2 linked regions of the Arabidopsis thaliana genome follow. The protein of the gene in region 1 interacts with the protein of each later gene in a pairwise test. Each region holds a gene or a part of one and is shown on either strand. Other genes may lie near its edges.

Evidence for each region. The genes of interacting proteins can lie anywhere in the genome.
Region 2: the proteins of DIS1 (region 1) and ABI4 interact in a two-hybrid assay, tested with the Arabidopsis thaliana proteins (one study listed by BioGRID).

What each region holds. Positions count from the first base shown.
Region 1 is NC_003070.9:4,492,357-4,499,113, forward strand, and holds DIS1 (Actin-like ATPase superfamily protein), read left to right. Parts: upstream 1-2,567; 5' UTR 2,568-3,037; coding exon 3,038-3,084; intron 3,085-3,178; coding exon 3,179-3,638; intron 3,639-4,010; coding exon 4,011-4,157; intron 4,158-4,408; coding exon 4,409-4,501; intron 4,502-4,636; coding exon 4,637-4,756; intron 4,757-5,177; coding exon 5,178-5,288; intron 5,289-5,368; coding exon 5,369-5,494; intron 5,495-5,577; coding exon 5,578-5,676; intron 5,677-5,767; coding exon 5,768-5,848; 3' UTR 5,849-6,113; downstream 6,114-6,757.
Region 2 is NC_003071.7:16,795,510-16,799,994, reverse strand, and holds ABI4 (Integrase-type DNA-binding superfamily protein), read left to right. Parts: upstream 1-2,409; coding exon 2,410-3,396; 3' UTR 3,397-3,748; downstream 3,749-4,485.

The sequences.
Region 1 (6,757 bases):
CAACCGGTGATCTAAGTCCAGCTGAAGAATCTGAGATCCGGTGAAGGAGATCGAAGAAATGTTGAGTTTGAACTAGAAAAAAAAAGAGAAGCAGAGAGAGCAGCAATGGAGGGCTCACAGATCCAATTTAAGGCAGTTGTCAGTAAAATTTTTTTGTGTTTGTGCAGTGTGCAGAGACTCTGCATAGAGAAGAGAGAGAGATAGAGAGAGAGGGAGCATCTCTCTGAAATCGTTTAAAATTAAATCATGAAAATAGAAATAAAAAAGGTAATTATTTTTACTAATAATGCTCTGAGTCAACATAATTGGTGTTTTCTATGGACCAATCCTACTAGAGCATAGATTATATGTATCGAATTTCCATATTTGTTTTGAAACATAAAAATATTTACCAAATTGTTACTGTCTTTTTTATTTTTTGTTGGTCTCAATAACCAAAATATTCGGTACCAATACTCAATTCCATATTCAAAATATGTTGTGTGTTTTTTTGTTTTATGGATTAAAATAAAAGGAACCAAGTGTTTTACAAGAGATGTTTAGTTGTAAAGCCCATATAAGCCCAATAAGGATCAAATAAGAAGTTCCCCAATGTCGAGCCCAGTAGATGAAATGATAGTCCACATAATGGGATGAAGGCGAATGAGTTGATCCAAACTCTCACCAAATCGAGAACCAAGTTTGCATGCACTCACCATAGGAGTTTATTTTGTGTTTTATGTTTGACGTTCTCGGGGGTTTTGGCTATATAGAAAATAAGAAGATCAAACTAATTAACTATATTAAGAATTGAATCGCTTTCAAATTGATTTTTTTTAATTCCGTGTTTGATCAGTTTAATTTATCCTAATCAAATACTCATAACCCATATATGTGATATTAGAACATGAGGTGATGGTATACTCAACTGCTTACACCTACTAACTCCTAATTCTTAAAATTTGATTATCAATTACAATTAACGGTTTTAATTATAATGTTAAAGTCCATTTCAAATTCCAGTCACAATTTTTATTCCATCTAAAGTAATTTGATACAAATTTGATTTTGCTTCGAATATGGTTGTTTTGTCAACGGTTTTTTATATCAAATATAGTTTTTTTTCTCTTTTCAATGCAATCGGTTAGGTGGTATTTGATTTTTCCTTCAAATTGAATTTTAAAAAATTCATTTTGTTCTTGATGATACAGTTCAATTTATCTGAATTAAACAATCTTAACCATATTGAATATTAAAACATGAGTATTGTATATTTCATTATGATTACACCTCATTTACCCCCAAATCTCTTTAATCAATAAACTTGACATGATCATGAAAAAAAATCATTGTTTAAAAAAAAAAACTAAAACAATAAACAAATATTTGTTTTGATAGTTCGAATATAATACTGCTAATACATTGATGAGTATTTATAAGTAAAAAAACTTGTAGAATCTTAAAAATATATTTAGATCGTCCTTTATCAATAAAATTTGTACAAAATGCGCTTTGTAATATTTTTTCTTTACGGTTACATCTTTATATTTTATTTTTATTTTTTGCTAAAGTGAAAAAAATAGTGCATTCTTTAGAGCTTTGAAGAACGTTGGTAGATCAACAATGAGTCGTCTGGAAAACATGTCGGCAAGAGATGCTTACAGCAATGTGACTGATCTAAAAACGATAGCCAACAAATTCGTAAACGGCGAATATTAAATTGAAAAAACTAGTGAATTGAGTATCACATATCTGCGTTAACGAATTTAGTAATTTGTTGGACGAATGTAGTAATTCGTTAGATGAATGAGATCAATCAAGCCATTTAAAAAAATATATATTCATTCGCATTGTAGTTTTACACATACCACCTAACATTGACTATAAAAAATATATATGAAAAAGAAATCTGTTGCAAGGGAGACTAACCTAGCCCAACAATTTTTAAAGCTCTAGGGCAAAATAAAAATTCAGGACCTTATATTCATGTTAAAAAAAAAAATTTATATATTTGGGCATATTTATACTAAAAATTATTTTGTTTGGGTCTTTTGAAATTTTATTACCTTGAAAACAGGTCATACTTTACACTTAAATGCTAAAACATTGGGCTACATTTTCATTTTGTTATTTAAACGGACCGGTATGAGTGAGACATGCATGATGATTTAAGCTTATCTACTCAATAGGATTAGGCTGAGACTGATATGATTCCATTTTTCGAGACCGTGTGAACATAGTTCATGATAACTACTGTGTAGTAAAGTAGTAACAAGACTTCAATCTCAAGTTTTAATGGGTTTTGTTCGGTGGTTCAAGCGTCCTTATCATAAGTTTGTTTTTCTGTCTTCACTACACACATCTTAATATTGAGTTAATCCAATTAACAGTAGGCATATATCATATATCATATATCAGAACATTATTTGTGTTATGATTACCTTTTATATTATCAAAGTCCCTAGTTAATTTGGTTTGTTTACAAAGACGATTACAGTATATTATATATCCAAACAAAATTTGTAATGATGATAATCAGCCCAGTATGGTTCAATTCAATGTTATTGAAATTTGTTTGGTTTTTAAATCAGACTTGGTTATTGAGTCGGGTTGGAAAACCAAATTAACCACAGCGCATAAGGACGAAGCCAAAATTTAAAACAGTAGTTGTACATAACTTCATTTGTTTTTTATCGGAAAAATCTCACACGATAAAGTACCAGTCGACGACGGCGACTTTCTCTATGATCTGACCGTTTCGCTGAATCTCACGTGAATCTCTGATTTTCCGGGAAAATCAATTTTCTCTCATTGTCTCTCTCCCTACATTGTTTCTCATAGCCTACGAGAAATTACGTGGTAGCTTGTCGGAAACTCAACTTCCGTTGACGGAAGGCGCGAGAAAGAAGCAAGCTTAGGTTCGATCGGAAAATTCTAGGGTTCTCTAGTGTTTAAACGGTAGAGATAATCGATCTCTAATCGGATACTGTTTTGGATCTCCATTCACACCCTCTGGTGAGCTGATTTTGCTTTAGAGATCGCCGGCTTAGTTTCTCTAATGGATCCGACTTCTCGACCCGCTATTGTCATCGACAATGGAACTGGGTACGTTCAATGATAGGTTTGATTTGTTTATGCGCTTAACGTGTTCGATGAAATGCTGCAATTAGATTCATTCTTGTGTGTGTGTGTATTGCAGGTATACTAAAATGGGATTTGCGGGTAATGTAGAGCCATGTTTTATCTTACCAACAGTAGTTGCAGTAAACGAGTCGTTTTTGAATCAATCCAAGAGTTCTTCTAAGGCAACTTGGCAAACTCAGCACAACGCTGGAGTTGCTGCGGATCTCGATTTCTATATTGGAGATGAAGCTCTTGCGAAATCGCGGTCTAGTAGTACTCATAATCTTCATTATCCAATTGAGCATGGTCAAGTTGAGGATTGGGATGCTATGGAGAGATATTGGCAGCAGTGTATATTTAACTATTTGAGATGTGATCCTGAGGATCATTATTTTCTTCTTACTGAAAGTCCTCTTACTCCTCCTGAAAGTCGAGAATATACTGGAGAAATTTTGTTTGAGACTTTTAATGTTCCTGGGCTTTACATTGCTGTTAATTCAGTTCTTGCACTTGCTGCTGGCTACACAACATCAAAGGTATGTTACACATTTCTTTTCTCCAAGTATTTACGTTGTTTGCTGTGATGAAATGCTATGTATTAGCCTACTTGCTGTGATGAAATGATATGTATTTAAGTTGTTTGCTGGGATGAAATGATATGTATTTAGGCTATTAGTTGTTTAAGTTTGCTTGTAGACTGTGTGAATCCTTAAATCAAGTCATAATTATACTTTATTCAGTTTTGGTTTTAGGGACTGAGTCTCAAGAATAGGTTAGTGTAACCTCACCAACATTAGACAATTTCCGAGCTTTGTGGGATTTAGCAAATATTAAACATGTTCTCTTGTTTTTTGTTCTGTCTCGTTATGCTCGCCTCGCCTCTTAATTTGACTTACAATTCTTCTTAGTGTGAGATGACAGGGGTTGTAGTAGATGTTGGAGATGGGGCAACTCATGTTGTACCTGTTGCAGAAGGTTATGTCATCGGGAGCTGTATCAAATCGATTCCAATTGCTGGCAAAGATGTCACCCTCTTTATCCAGCAACTCATGCGGGTATGCACTAATTTATTATCTTAATATTAGTCTTGGTCTTCTTTTGTAGTTGGTTTTCATTCTTTCTCTGTGACATTTTAAGATTTTAAAGGCACAGAAGTTAAATGTGTTAAATCCAAGCTTTGAGTATGGTAGCTAGGCTTCCTGTTTATTTGTTTTAGATGTTGTGCTCATATGCTTAGAGAGGGTGTTTACTGGTTTAGATTAATGTATTAACTTCATGTAACTTCTCGTTTCAATGTTTACTGTAGGAAAGAGGTGAGAATATACCACCAGAAGATTCATTCGATGTAGCCCGTAAAGTGAAGGAAATGTACTGCTACACTTGTTCTGACATCGTAAAGGTAATCCTTAGTGGTGAATATTCAAGTCAGATAATATTAATATATACTCTTCTGAAAATTTATTACTGGCCTGTATGCTGAAATCGCTTGAAAAGAATATAGGAATATTGATAAAGAACATTCATATGGTTGCAGGAGTTTAATAAACATGACAAAGAACCAGCAAAGTATATTAAACAATGGAAAGGTGTAAAGCCAAAGACTGGTGCACCATACACTTGCGACGTGGGATATGAACGATTCCTTGGACCCGAGGTTTGTTACCATCTATCTGTTATAAAAAGTTGTAAGTTGATAAGATAACCAGAATCGGAGACTGGATATCTTTACTGGTGCATGAGTTTCTAGTATGTCAGTGAGCTGTTCATGATTTGTTATCGATTATAAGATATTTTCAGCACTCTGTTCTGATTACTGAACGGTACTGATATAAAACTATGCTCTCTCAGAAACTCAAATTAGGTAATTACTTAGTCCATTATGTTAACTGGAAGTCTGGAACTAATTCTTATCTAGTTAGAATTCAGCTGTCACTACTGGACCCATAGGAAGCTAATCTCCTTTGTATCTCTATACCAAGAGAGTAACTGGAAAGTGGAACATAATTTCCTTTATTGTTCTTGCGTTTTTGTTCTGCTATTACCGATGAGTAATGTTGAGATTTTGTGTGTTACAGGTGTTCTTTAATCCAGAGATATACAGCAATGACTTCACAACTACTTTACCAGCTGTGATAGACAAATGTATTCAGTCTGCACCAATTGACACACGAAGAGCTTTATATAAGGTTTGAAACGCCAAAGACTGGTCAGAGTTTTAAGATAATTTCCAATCCGCAATACTGATGAATTTGTGAAATCATTTCAGAATATAGTGTTGTCCGGAGGTTCAACTATGTTCAAAGATTTCGGAAGAAGGTTACAAAGGGACCTCAAGAAGATTGTTGATGCTCGTGTTCTTGCTAATAACGCTCGTACTGGTGGTGAAATTACGGTAAGAAAATTGTATGATATTCTGGAAAATAAAAGTGATAACCAGTTTTCTTAATCTGAGGTGATATTTATTTATAACCACAGTCTCAACCGGTGGAGGTTAATGTCGTGAGCCATCCTGTCCAGAGGTTTGCAGTTTGGTTTGGAGGCTCTGTGCTTTCATCAACTCCTGAGTTTTTCGCGGTATGCAAACTAGTTTAGAGATCCGCTAGTTTGAAGCTAAACCTCATGGCTTGATCGTGTTTTGAAACAAGATGTATTTTTGTTGTTGCAGAGTTGCAGAACGAAAGAGGAGTATGAGGAATATGGAGCAAGCATATGCCGCACGAATCCGGTGTTCAAGGGAATGTATTGAAGCTGCTTCATAAATAATTCACCAGCAGATTCTGTGAATGTTTGTCTGCTTTACTCCATTTCTATTACTGACTTTAGGGTTCTTGAGTACACACAGTGTAAGCTAGGCTTGATGTAGAAGTCATATTATTATTCAGACAAATTAAAGAAAAAAAGTATGTAGAAGTTTGATTTTTTTTTCATATTATTTTCTGTTAACTCAAGCATTAAATTCCACAGAAAAGTTCCGGATTATCAATCGTCTAATTGTCAAGTTATCATTTTTTATAAGCTTTTATTCCACTCAAGAGCTTAAGTTCTAGATGAAACACATGATAATTAAGTTTTGTCTACTTTATGATGTGTTTTATTTTTTATAAATTAGTTAATAATATTTAAAATTAGACATGAATAGATAAACCTTCTTTTGGGTAAAATACACAAAATCATTTTCTTAAATTACTCAAAACAAATATCTTTCATTACTCTTTGGTTTTGGAGTAATGTAAGATATTCTGTTGTTAATAATAAAGGAAAAAACTTTCATGGGAAAAAAAAATATATATATATATCTTTCATATGTTCTACAAAATACATTATTACATTTATAGCTTGTTGTATAAACGCACTAAAAAAACATGTAAAAGAAAAAAGTTTGTTAAGACAAACTGTTGACATCACGGTGAAGCTCTTCTTTCATTTTTTCTTCTTCTATCGGATAAGAAAGAGAACATCCCGAGTCTCGACGAATACGACTCTCTTCCTCCGATCTCATCAAAAACTCTTTCGCTAAAGCTCTGTTTCTGGGCGTTCAAACAATTCCGGAGTTTGTCGGATTCTCAACTTCCGTATACGGAGAAGGTCGAGCAACAAGTAGTCAAAGTAAGCAAGCGTAGTTTTTTCTCTCTGTCTTTTTCTTTCCGATCCTCAA
Region 2 (4,485 bases), on another chromosome or scaffold:
CAACAAAAGTAAATCCCTTGCAGACGAATCTTTAATTCTATATTAGTAGTATCAATGAAAAGTTTCTAAGTAAACTTGTTATTATGACGATAGTTCTAAGAGTTATGTTTTATAGATTAAAAGGAGTCATGTATATGCTACCATTCATAAGAACAATAGATAATTCAACAAATTCTTATTTTATTTATTTTTACTTTTAGTAAAAGAATATTAAGAAAATTTGTCTCTTAATTTCAATGGTATAAGATCTAAGAAGTCAAGTTTTTATTTCGAAAAAAGTCTAAACGTTAATGGTCTTCCATTTGTTATATTTGTGGGTCAAACATCATAATCTATACGGTAGATTAGTCTTTCTAGGCGACCAAAAAAATAAACTCTCTTCTCTTCTCTCTGTTTTCAAAATTCCTTTTCTTATAAAAAATGTCAGTTATATTTTGTTTTTAATATTTCTTAAAGTCGAAGCATACATAAATGATGACAAAAAAAGAAAGAAGAAGCGTACATAAATATCTACACTATAACTCCTCTTTTTAATATATTTATTTATTTATCCATTGACATGTGAGTATTTTAAATTTCTACATAATTCTTTTTTAAGATTAATAAAAGGTGTAGTATCCAAAATCTAAATCTATCGGACGAAGTATTTGACTGAAGCCAAGTCGTCTTCCAAGAATGGTGTTAAGTGGACTAAATGAACACATATATCTATGTAATGAAAGCAGAAAAATAATTACTGTGTCTCTCTGCATCTGTATTTCTGTCCCTCCAGTGGCTGCAGCAGGCAATGGATCTGCAACACTCTCCGAGTGCGCAAATCAACTTATTTTTCTTCTCCAAAATTTAACAAGTACTACTCCAGAAATATGATTCTAGTTTTTACTTATGTCCAAAAATATGATACGTGTTGTACCAGATGTTTTTCCTCCGATCCCTTAATTATATCTATGTTTACAATTTTATTTTACGTATAAAGATAAAACATCAAAAAAATAGTATCATAAGGTGATTTCCCAACAGCTTAAATTTTTCTCTAAGATCATAATCATCAAGTATAGAAGCTTCGGTTAAGTTCAACACTAAAAGTTAGATTAAAACCAAATTAGGGGCGAATATGGTTAGACCATCTCCAATGGTCACCTCTATAATTTTCTCTATTTTAGAGGTGCCTCTATTTTAGAAGCATTGTGCTCCAATGGTCACCTCTAAAATAGAGTTTCCTCAAAAATAGAAGAAAAATTAGAGATGAATTGTAGAGATCTCTATTTATAGAGACAAAAAGTAAATATTTCTATTTCTTCCTCTATTATAGAGAAAACTCTATTTTAGAGGTGACCATTTGAACATAATGCCTTTAAAATAGAGTCACCTCTATAAATAGAGGAAAATATAAAGATCACTATTAAAAATGCATTTAGATCTTTTACTAGGGTTGTTGGTAATGGTAGATTAATTACCTTGATCCTTTTTAGTATACTTATCTGTTAATGCTTGTTAACCACTTAAATTGCAAGAGAGTTGAACAAAATTGGGTAATTCATGCCACGCTTTGTAATTATTCATTGATTAGTGTTTCATTCTCTACAATTTATGGCTAATCAGCCCCCGTTAGCCGTTATGTAATGATTTATTCTAGTTTCATTGCTTGCCAACTTTAAACGATGCTTTTAATTCTTGAACTCATAAATCATTTTCTTTGTTATCTTTGTCTACTGTTTTATTCACTTGATCTTCTTAATCTTTTAAATTGCCTATCTTTTGCTATGTTTTTGTTACAATTTAAATTGACAAGTACTTAGAAAAACAAACAAAAATGATATCTCTGTTCCATCTTAGATTATTCGTTTCTTATTTCTCTTAATATATATTTTTGAACACGCTTATTTCTCTTATATATGTTGCAATATTCCTAACCTTGGTGAATTTGATTCAGTTCTCTCTGGTTGAATCCTCTGAAATCTGAATGCCTTGGAGTGTTTTCAACATGCGAGTATTTCTCACAATTACCCATCCAATCAAAGAAAAGAACCAACTTCAAGATATTGTTATATATCGCTCATGATTTGCTATAGTTACCCAAAAGAAAGAAAGCAATTAAATGTTTTTATAATATCCTTGATTACATTCCAATGTGTAACAAGTAACTTATGACAACACAAATTTCTTCTTTGGTAGAAAACAAACGGGTAAGTAAAAAGAAAAGAAAAAAAGAAGTGAGTGAGAAGAGAGTGTAAGTATAAATAAAAGAAGCACCGCCCTAATCGACCATTCACAACGATGACATTCAAACACTCTTCAGTTTCCCTTCCTTCTTGATTCGTCCTCTCCACTATTTTTCTCAATTTCTTTAATCTCTCTCTTTCTCTCTCTACTTCCTCTTCCTCTTCTTCTTCTTCTTCTTCTTCATCTATGGACCCTTTAGCTTCCCAACATCAACACAACCATCTGGAAGATAATAACCAAACCCTAACCCATAATAATCCTCAATCCGATTCCACCACCGACTCATCAACTTCCTCCGCTCAACGCAAACGCAAAGGCAAAGGTGGTCCGGACAACTCCAAGTTCCGTTACCGTGGCGTTCGACAAAGAAGCTGGGGCAAATGGGTCGCCGAGATCCGAGAGCCACGTAAGCGCACTCGCAAGTGGCTTGGTACTTTCGCAACCGCCGAAGACGCCGCACGTGCCTACGACCGGGCTGCCGTTTACCTATACGGGTCACGTGCTCAGCTCAACTTAACCCCTTCGTCTCCTTCCTCCGTCTCTTCCTCTTCCTCCTCCGTCTCCGCCGCTTCTTCTCCTTCCACCTCCTCTTCCTCCACTCAAACCCTAAGACCTCTCCTCCCTCGCCCCGCCGCCGCCACCGTAGGAGGAGGAGCCAACTTTGGTCCGTACGGTATCCCTTTTAACAACAACATCTTCCTTAATGGTGGGACCTCTATGTTATGCCCTAGTTATGGTTTTTTCCCTCAACAACAACAACAACAAAATCAGATGGTCCAGATGGGACAATTCCAACACCAACAGTATCAGAATCTTCATTCTAATACTAACAATAACAAGATTTCTGACATCGAGCTCACTGATGTTCCGGTAACTAATTCGACTTCGTTTCATCATGAGGTGGCGTTAGGGCAGGAACAAGGAGGAAGTGGGTGTAATAATAATAGTTCGATGGAGGATTTGAACTCTCTAGCTGGTTCGGTGGGTTCGAGTCTATCAATAACTCATCCACCGCCGTTGGTTGATCCGGTATGTTCTATGGGTCTGGATCCGGGTTATATGGTTGGAGATGGATCTTCGACCATTTGGCCTTTTGGAGGAGAAGAAGAATATAGTCATAATTGGGGGAGTATTTGGGATTTTATTGATCCCATCTTGGGGGAATTCTATTAATTTGTTTTTGTGGAAGATCATATTATATACGATGAGCATCCCTAAGGTCGGTCAAGAGCATTGGAGATTCATTGTTGAGAGGAATCAAAGAGATTGCATTCTATGAGGAGCTCTGCATGCAAAATTTTGGAGGATTTTTTTACTACCTATAGAGATAAATAAGAGGGTATTTTTATTATTTTTTTGAAGATTTTTATTTTCAAGGAATTCGTAAAAGAGATTACGGTTCCAATAAAGTATGTATATGTGGAAGAGAATCGGAGGAGATGGTGGAAAGTTGTATGGGAATTTTATTGGTTCAACACTTCCTTCACAGTGTGCCTACCTTAATATATAATTATTGATAGGATATGATAATTTCTGTTTGGTTGTTCGAGTTTCAGAGGTTATATATAGTTATATTTTGTTTATCTCTGAGAATATTTACACATATCTCTATTAAGTTTTAGTAATATAGGAATCATCAATGTAGAAACTATGGAGAGAAACACGTTTTCAAAAAGTGTTCATCACTGGATGCATAATTGTTGTCGTTGAGAAGATTATTTACATTATTCGAGCTGGGTATTCTCACACCAACACTTCATATTCAAGTTTACAATTTTTTGTATCGATCATCCTTCAAAGTGTTTGGACATGATTTTGTCCGAATCCTAGCTTTCTTTGACTAAAAAGAGTTCTCCGTTTCTGTATTTCCCTTGTCCTGTGATTTCTTGTTTACTATGGTGTTTATTGGAAGTTGACAAGAAAAAATCAATTTTATTTTTTGTTTATGATTATATTTCGAATCTTTTAACAGTATTATACAAAATTTAAATTAAAAATAATCCCATATCTGACTGGGTTATACATGAATATTTCAATATTAATAATTAATTTAATTTATAATAATTATATATACAAAACACAACAAAATAGATTATTATATTTTCATTTGTTATATGAAATCACAACACTTTTCTATATCTTGGTTACGTAATAATTTAAGTGCACAAATATGGGTATGGTGATTCATATACTAGATAGAGATTGACATAAACTTTTCTAGAACCGATTATTTTGGTAATCAAATCATACAATGTTGTTTAT